Linked DNA regions of Caenorhabditis elegans. The protein of the gene in region 1 interacts with the protein of each later gene in a biochemical or structural test. Each region holds a gene or a part of one and is shown on either strand. Other genes may lie near its edges.

Region 1 (3,575 bases):
AAGTTCATTGAACCTTTTCGACCCTTTGCTCCATTTATTCTCCAAAAGTTCATTTTGCACAATGTGCTCAGTACGTGGAAATCGGGATAAAACTGAAGTTGCATTTTCTGCCGTCGCCGGTATGTTTTCTTTTCTGTTGTTTTTTTTTGTTTCGATAAACTTTCCCACTTTCCGCTTTTTCCGCAACTTAATCATATTTATTTTTAGAAAACCATCATGATTTCTGTCACTTTCCGTCAAATTCTGGGTCTTGTTTCTCTACTGTGTGCCACGTGGCTTTACAGCCAATGCAGACATATTTGGCTGCTCGCCCAGGACGATTTCAACGAGCAATTCACGAATTTTTTGGGTGAAAAATGGTGGAGCACGGATCAGTTGGAGCTTTGTGATGATGAGACAAAGGACACGAAATGGCAGAAAAATGGTGAGTGTCTGTGTGTAATCGCGCTCCGTTGATAATTTTATATTTGGTATATACCGTTTTTTTGTCCGCAGAGCGCGCTTGCAGCAAGGCTACTTAGCAAAATTTGGGGGTTTATCAGTTTTCAAAAGATTTATTTCAATTTCTCTCCATTAACTTTCATAAGTAGCAATGAAAAATGCGATTATCATATTTAATTTTTTTTTTGACAATAAAAAATCAATAAGCTCAAGCACATAAAAATCTACAAAAAGATCACCACTTCTTATTCCTCTTCCTCCTCTTCTTCCTCTTCCTCTTCGGCTTCTGGCTCTTCAGCTGCTGGCTCGGCGGCTTCTGGTTCTGGCTCGGCCTCTGGCTCGACTGGAGCAGCTAGTTCCACTGGTGCAGCCTCTTCTTCCTTCTTCTCTTTCTTGGACCATTCTGGTTTTCCGTCGGCGGTTCCCTTCTTCTTTGCCATGATTTCGTCGAGGTCCGTCTCCTTTTTGACCACTTTCAGGTTGTTGCGGAAGTTTGATTTTTCCTGAAATTTATTGTTATTTGGTGGAAATCAATTGGAACAATTTGAGAACTTTAAAAAAACTAAAATGTTTTTAAAAAGATATCGGAATATTTTTCAATGGAAATTTTCAGTCAAATTTTTCTTTCCGAAATTAAATAGTGGTTTGCCGTGTTTGAGTTGAGCATTTTAACATTTTTTTACACAATTTTAACGCATTTTTGGTGTTTTCTGCATTTGGCACGAAAAGTTGTTGCAACCGACAGTTCACGGGAATTAGCGAGCTTTGGGTGATCCCCAAAGATGTCGGCTGCATCTGTTTTGCAAACGCAATAGTTAGATGCCCACATTTATAGTTTGCAGCCGACACCTAACTGGTCTGTTCAAAAAATTTCAAAAATTGTCTTGCAGCAGCCGACACCTAACGAGGCTTCGAAAAGTTTCTACAAAATTCATTATTTCCAATCTCTCACCTTAACTTCTCCGGATGACTTGAACTTGTTGTCGTACTTGGACACCTTCTTCAATGTTGGCTTCACAAACTTTCCTCTCAAGTCATTAACTTGAATAGTCAACTGATTGATCTCTGCCTCAGTCTGGGATACTCCGAAGTTGATATCGAACTTCTCCTCCTCAAGAGCACAAACTCTGGCGAACATATCCTCATAGATCTTCAAGAGTTGTCCCTGATCATTGATCGAGTCGACGTCTGGAAGTGGGATAGTACGCTGCTGAAGGGTCTTCTGACGTTCTTGCTCCTTGAGCATTTGCTGTTGCTTCAAGTCCTCGGCGGCTTTCATCATGAGAAGTTTCTGGAATTATTCTGATATCTAAAAAGTTACAGCCAAGGCTTTACTCACTCTAAGCTTCTTCTTTCTTTCTGGAGTCAAGAAACCCTTCTTCTTGGATCCCTTCTTTGCTGCCTCCTCCATACGCTTACGGACTTCGGCTTTCTTGAGCTCACGCTCTTGAGCCTTGCGGGCGGCATCCTGAAATTAATTTTAAGTAATCTGAAAATTGAGCAACTTCTTACGTCCTCAACATCAGCCTGAGCTCCGCCGTAGCGAATGTTCTCGTCTTCAATCAGCATTTTGGCGGGGAAAAATGACCTGGAAAAGTTGATCTGTGAGAAGTGGCAAGCGGGGCGGGAAAGAGAAATTGAGCAATAAATCTTGATTAGTATGTGTGCGGAGCAGGAAGGAAAAATAATAGCATATGGAAGAAGTTAGTAGAGAAATGGGATTTGAGAATTAGAACAAAGAACATAAAATGTTCTGAAAGATACTACGGTAACCTAAAGAGGCCGACGCAGCCGACCGGTGGCGGCGGCGGCAAACCCGGGAAATGTCGGCTGCAAACTAATTTTCAGTATAGGCTTAGATATCTGCAGCTGACACTTAACCGGGTGTATTTTGTACATTTAAAGCATCGAGACATTTTGTTGAACCCGGCAGATGTCGGCCGCAAGTTTCCATAAAACAGAGGTTTTTGTAATTTTTTCCAGCCAAAATTTTAAGACGTAATAGATTGTGAACCCGGGAAATGTCGGGTGCAAGGAAATTAATTTATATTTAGATGATACGTTATAGCAGCCGACACATAACTGGGTTTAGCGGAACTTTGGGAACCCGTGAGAAATCAGCTGCAAGCAGCTTCGATAGTTTTTAAAAAGTAAAATGTTGTCGCCGACATTGATACAATTTAGTTTAACCCAGGACATGTTGGCTGCAAGAAAGTTTTGCAAAAAGTGTAAAAAACAAAAACAAATCTGCAGCCGACATTGAATTGGTTTTCACAAGACCAACAGTTTCCAATGCATCCGACATCTCACAGGGTTTTCCAAAATTCTATTAAAGCTTGCTGCAGCAGACTGAATTTTACGAAATATTCACAAAACCACAATTCATAATGGCAGCCGCAAAAAACCCGGCCGATGGCATATTAATCAGGCTAGACAAGATATACGGTAAAAAAGTAAGACCTGGAAAATCAAAAAGCATGACGTAATCTGATCACAACGAATGGCAGAATGAGTGAATCAGGAGGAGAAGACTGAAAACTAAAACCAAAGTTTAAAACATGTTTTTCCTGCGGAACCCCCTCCCTCCCTGTTTTCCCCTGCTCTCCGCCTCCATCTTGTACTCTCTCTCTATCTCCCGTCTATAACTTTTGCTCCTACTGCTGATGCACATATTGCATACGAAACAAAACGAAGAAGCGAACAGTGTAATAAAACAGGGCGAAAAAGAATGGCGGAGGCGGGCAAGAAGCACTAGTGAAAACGGCGGTAATTCAAAACCCATCATCACTTTTTGCCGCAAGATAGAAACGACATGTGTGTGTGTGAGCCTAGAGCTCTCGGAGCTCTCACGGGAAAGCTTTGGGAATACTACTTACTTTTCTTTTTCTGTGGTAGAAAATGTGCTAGGGGAATTCGGAAATTAGCAGGAATTCCCCGGGGGAATCCCTTTTATCAGACCACCGGTGCCAATCAAAATGAGGATCAATTTGCAAAAAAGAGAGATATCAGAACAGTTGTTGCCACCACATCAATTGTCGCAAATTTTGAGGTGGCAAAAGATTGATGATTGGGAGAAAAATGGGAAGTCTGGAGGTCAATTTTGGGTTTTTTGAACATTTTTTGAAAAAAGTTAG
Region 2 (5,980 bases), about 15 Mb from region 1:
ATGATACATTTTCTAAATTTTAGAAATAGAATAGCAATACAATATTGTCATATTTCCTCTACATATCATTATGTGAAACTATTTTTCAAAAAATATATTACTTACATTAAAGAAGGAGTTTGAAAATTAAGATTGGAGGCTTTACTAATAAAGTAAATACAGAAAGCTTTGGCAGGCAACGAGTAGGTGATGGCCGGACATGTAGGTAGGTAGGTCTAGGCTAATAAGCGGGAAGACACCCCTAAAAATTCCAAACATTCCGAAGCGGTGAATTAATAAATTGATTTTCTCAAAAATTTAAACATTGAAAAAAATATAATTTTTCAGAAAAAAATAATCTCATAAAATGGGTTTTTTTGTAAGTGTCGAATTATATAATTTCGGTCTTATTTGATCTTTTCCTCAGGAAGCCACCCGAAATAGCCACAAACATCATCATCAGAACAAGAACTATTTCAATTTCAGTGATAACATTCTAGTGCCACGTTCTCGCCCGCCTTTCCGCTTTTATTAATTGAGGTCAGTAACTGAAATGATAACAGAATATTTCCGCTTCAACTTTATTTTTAACTTTAGACATTGGGAAAAGTTTGATGGGAACATAAAGTGAGAGGGTTTTTTTTTGGATTTTTCTGAAAGTTTCAGAGAAAAATTGAACAACAATTAAACGTATTTGCAAAAAAAAAAAGATAAAAACTACTTGGATAAATGATTTTTTTTTTTGGTTTTTTTATTGGTATTATCGACTTAATAGTCTTCCTCTTCCTCGGCGGCTTCAAGCTCTTGCTGAATCTCGTAGTCCATTTTCTTGATCACCTTCTCGTACAATGCCGGTGGTGGGGCAACTCCTGGGAAGCATGGGAATGCGATTTTCTGGAAATTAAAAAACATGGTAACAAATCGAATAATTTTGAATTAAACTAGGTAAGCTGAAAATACAAAAAATTAGGAATATAACATACCTAACCAATTTTAAATTTTCTAATTTTTCTATTTTTTTGGTATTCCAAAATCAGGGTTTTGTAAATTCTCAGATAAAAACCAGCCCCCAATTCAATTTTCAAACAAATGTTTTAACTTACGTTCTCATAAACCTGACGGCGCTCCTTGAAGTTTCTTCTGTCGATTTGTCTGTCGTATTTGGAAGAGATTTGGACCTTTGGCTGAAAATAATTTTGTTAGTTATTATAATTTGTCTATTAATGCCAAAAATCCTAATGAACATACTGGATGTCTTCCTCCGGTGTCGTCTCCGCTGACTTGTCCGTTCTTGGCGTTGTTGGCACGGGCCACTTGACGGGAACGCTCATTCAATTCTTTCAGCTGAAATTTGCAAACTTTCCGTATTTTCAGTGGTTAAATTGTTAAAGAATCTGCCTATGCTGCAGCCTATCTAGGGAACCATCAGAAGGTGCCCATCGGACTTACATATAAGACCTATGCCATTCGATAGCCCATGTCTTAAAACGGTTACTCGTGAATTTTTAGCTGCGAATCTCCAGAACCAAGCTCACGGCGAGCTCTCAAAGATCCTAAAATAGCACTGTAACGAAGCACTGTAACGATCTAAAGAAGAAATTTTCTTAATTATCTTTAGTAGCTCATATCTCGGCGGATAAATTTTTTACAGAAAAGTCATCAACTGATAAGTTGTTGATCTTTTTGTAAAGAACAAGTTTGTAGTTGAAAGTTTTTACCAACAATTTTTTGTATCAGATAAAAACATTATAATAGCAGCAATAAAATAGTAACAACAGTTGCCGCACTTCACGCGCTTCTATCTGAAACAGAATTTTTTTGGTGGAAAACTTTCAACTACAAATTTGTTCTTTACTAAAAGATCAACAACTTATCAGTTGATGACTTTTCTCTAAAAAAATTATCCACGGAGATATGAGCTACCAAAGTAAATTAGGAATATTGGCCATTCAATGCTTCATTATAGTGCTATTTTAGGATCTTTGAGAGCTCGCCGTGAACTTGGTTCTGGAGATTCGCAGCTAAAAATTCACGAGTAACCGTTTTAAGACATAGGCTATCGAATGGCATAGGTTTCATATGCAAGTCCGATGGGCACCTTCTGATGGTTCCCTAGTAAGCCAATCAGTAAGTTTTGGCCTAAGTCATAGCCTAAGCCTAAGCCTAATAAGCCTAGCTACCGCTCGCCACTTACGCCAAGCCTAAGCCCAAGCATATGCCTAATCCTAACCCTATTCCTAAGCCTAGACTATGCCAAGCCTAAACATAAGCCGAAGCCTAAGACTAAGACTACTTACATCGTACTCCTGTCTCTCGTGTCTCTTCTCCAAATCGTACTTCTGAGCCTCCAACTTGCAGATTCTTTGATGAAGCTCCTTGATCTTGGCCTTCATATCATTTGGAAGAATGGTGGAAGCCTCGGCGATCGACTTACGAATACCGGCCATGGCGACCGACTTAGCCTCTTCCTGTTGTTCTTTGGTCATTCCCATCTCTTGTTTGGCCTGCACGATGTTTCCGAAACGATCTCCAACTCCGGCGGACTCTTCCTTCTTCTGGATGACAAAGTTTCTTCCACCCTGTTGTCCTGGGAATCCTCCACCCATCATCTGAGCCTTCTTCAGCTTCTCCTCTTCCTTCCTCTTCTTCTCCTCTTCGGCACGAGCACGACGCTCCTGCTCCTCCTTCTGTCTACGTTCCTCGTCGAGACGCTTGCGCTCGGCAGCTTCACGCTCTTCTTGCTCTCTGGCGAGCTTACGCTGAGCTTGCTTCTCCTTCAGCTTCTCCAACTCTTCCTCTTCCTTTTCACGTTCGGAGCGACGAGCCTTCTCGTAGTCTTCCAACTTGGCCTGTTCGTCGTTCTCGTGACGTCTCTTGGCGGCGAGCATAGCCTTCTCACCTTCATTTAGAGCTTCTCCGCTGAAAAATGCATATTGTTAGGGTAATTTATTTTTTCAGAATGTGATGATTTAGTAGTGTCTCAGTGATTTTATAGGGTTAGATATTTGGCATTAATTAATTTTTTTCAATTTAGGATAGCAACCGACATTTTTCAGGGCAAATTGTTTTTTAATGAGGCTTTGAAAAAATAAAATGTTCCGGATATTGAGATCTCTCTCTCATTGAGATCTCGATTTCCGTTATATGTCGGCTGCTCTTATTCCTACACTAGCCATTGAAAGTGTGCAGCCGACAATTGAGAAACCCGAGGTTTGCCAGCTGCCTTCTACAAATTGCCGGATCCCGTATAATGTCGGCAGCTCATACTTCATAATGACAGTCAGTAAAACTTTGCAGCCGACATCTCGAAGGTCAACAAAAGTGCATGCCCGACTTCACATGATTTTAATGATATTTTGGTCCCGTAATATGTCGGCTGCTCCTACTTTATACAAAAATACAGATGTGTTCTCATCGGATACTTCGATTCGTCGGTTGCTCATTTAAAAGTAAACTATTTCCAAATATCTGACCCTCTAACCCACTCCAATATTGCATGGATAATGGAATTGTGAAAAGAAAGAAAAAAGTGCAAACAGTGATGCCGTAAGTGTATGTGCTTGAGTGCGAAGAAAATAGTGTGGCCGAGCGCGGAGACGCAGGCTTTTCAAAAGTTTTTCCACTCAACAGTACTAGTGATTTGATTAGAGAGATCACGGCGGTCTTGGATAAGAAAAGCCTAGTAGTTTTTACTATAAGATAGGAAAGAATTGAAAAAAAGAAGTACTCGAAAGAGACAGGAGCGTGCGAAGAAGCAGCCGGTGTTGCTGGACCACCGGTTGCCGTGGTGTCGACAGAAGCTCGCTTGAACCTTTCTTCCTCTTGCTGCTCGGTGTCCTCCTCCTCTTCGGCTTCAGCCTCCTCGACCTCCTCGACTTCCTCCTCTTCTACCTCCTCATCCTCGTACTCGGAGCTGGAATTTTAAAACTTGAAATATAACATTTTTTAAATTTCAACTCACTATTCCTCGTCAGACATGTTGATTGGTGAATTGGTTGTAAAAAAAACCCCTGAAAAAATGTAAAAAATCAAAAGTTAGGAAATGAAACATAAATTGGAAGCAAGGGGAAGAAGAGCAAGTGTTACATAGTGTCTTCAAAGTTTGCCCACCCCAATGAATTCCAACAAGTGGTAGTGGGGAGGCGGATCTCGAGTTTCGGTGGGCGTACAGTGTATGTTAGCTTTCTTTTCTCATCCCGCAAACTGCGCAAAAAGATCATGGAAACATGAGAGAGATTTGGGAGAGTATCCTGGCAAATCGCGGGTAAGCTCTCTTGAGAGCTACCTGTGTGTACAATCATGTCGCGATCGGTGATGTGCTCTGGTGGAGACAGGGGAACTGGTGGTAAGTGAGCAGGAAAAAAAGTCAGGAAGTGATGGTTAGTCAAGGATCTGAAATGGCTAACTCATGGATTTGGATCAGAAATTTTAAGGATTCCCCTCTAAATTCAATGCTTACAAGGGAAGTCGAAAAACTGAACCCCGGACTTTGACATGCCATAGTAATTTTTCGATAAAAGAGTGAAAATGATGATCTCTCCAAGAAATTTAGCTGCCCCGGTCCAGGTTCAGCAAAGTTATGACGTTTTGAAAGTGGCTAGACCACCTTTTTAAAAAAATTTCAAAAATTTCAAAAAAAAATTTTTTCTTCTGAAAAGTGGAAAAAATATCTGTAAATGATTCAAAACAGCGAAAAACATATGCCATGCAAGTCTTAGCTCATAACTCTCAAGAAAACCCATAAATTAACCTATTAGGTCAGTCAATAAGTTTTGTCGCTTTTTCTCATCTTTGATTTTTTCTTAGATATTTTTTTGTGGTTATATAGAAGACTGTTAGTAATGATAAGCCCAACAATATCAGCCATATCGGACTACTCCCAGATATTTTAAATCTCAGAACTGTGATGACGAAAAAAAAATTTTTTTTTCGATTTTTTTTTATTTTTCGGCGAAATGAAAAACTTTATATGCCCTGATGTATTAGACAGTCAGTTGAATAAAAATCTGCAGTTGACGCCCCATGCGTATCTTTTTGGTGGCGCTACACTCCTTAAAATGGCCAAAAATGCTTGCAAAAATGACTTTTTAAAGTTTGAAGGGCGCTAACTTCCGGAACGTGCAAGATACAAAAAAGTAATCAATTACAACATTAATAAGCACATCAATTACTACATTTTATCAGTTTACCACTATTTCCTATCTGTGCCCGCTGCTAAGTTACAGTCAGTTGAAACAAGCTAAGTCCAAGTTTCAATAAACACCCTTTTTCCAGATTTTCGCCTGTAACTCTAAAACTACTTGTTTGACAAAACTTTTGTCAAGAGCTGAAATAATTAAATTTTTATTTTTCACATTTTTGTAGTTGAAAATTTTGTTATACATAAGGTTTATGCAAGAATATTACTCATCAAAGAAAAAAATATGCGTAGTTTTTTAAAAATGGAAAAATACTCCAAAGTTCTATTTTTCTCTCCACTAAAGTAAAGCTGATAAATGAAAGTATATGCAAAGTTTTAGTTAAAAGTAACTTATTCATTTTCAAAAATGTTTAGGCCTTTTCCTCTGAAAATTTTTTTAACGAAATTTTTTCACGATGATTTTTGAAAATTTTTATAAAATTGGACGAGCTCGCTTAATTGTCTCATATCTTTGCCAACACTTAAGATATAACAAAACTTTCAACTACGAAAATGTGTAAAATTAAAAGGAGATTGTTTTATCTGTTGACAAAAATCTTGGAAAACAACTGGTTTTGGAGTTACCGGCAAAAATCTGGAAAAAGGGTGTTTATTAAAAGTTGGACTTGGTTTGTTTCAACTGACTGTAACTTAGCAGCGGGTGAAGATAGAAAAAAGTAGTAAACTGATAAAATGTAGCTCTTGATATGCAAAATAATTTTACAATTGATTATTTTTTGGTATCATTCACGTTTCTGAAGTTACCGCCACTAAAAGTTAAAAAAAATCATTTTTGCAAGCATTTTTGGTCATTTTAATGAG

The links. Proteins that work in one complex are often made in the same cells at the same time.
Region 2: the proteins of tni-3 (region 1) and tnt-4 interact in far-western blotting, tested with the Caenorhabditis elegans proteins (one study listed by BioGRID).

The regions. Positions count from the first base shown.
Region 1 is NC_003283.11:16,833,100-16,836,674, forward strand, and holds tni-3 (Troponin I 3), read right to left. Parts: upstream 2,030-3,575; 5' UTR 2,011-2,029; coding exon 1,954-2,010; intron 1,910-1,953; coding exon 1,781-1,909; intron 1,733-1,780; coding exon 1,394-1,732; intron 945-1,393; coding exon 687-944; 3' UTR 539-686; downstream 1-538. Other genes in the region: phy-3 (Fe2OG dioxygenase domain-containing protein), read left to right, coding at 217-424. UniProt on the Caenorhabditis elegans protein: Troponin I is the inhibitory subunit of troponin, the thin filament regulatory complex which confers calcium-sensitivity to muscle actomyosin ATPase activity.
Region 2 is NC_003283.11:1,988,930-1,994,909, forward strand, and holds tnt-4 (Troponin T, skeletal muscle), read right to left. Parts: upstream 3,985-5,980; 5' UTR 3,958-3,984; coding exon 3,941-3,957; intron 3,893-3,940; coding exon 3,707-3,892; intron 2,899-3,706; coding exon 2,277-2,898; intron 1,324-2,276; coding exon 1,228-1,323; intron 1,164-1,227; coding exon 1,083-1,163; intron 874-1,082; coding exon 748-873; 3' UTR 546-747; downstream 1-545.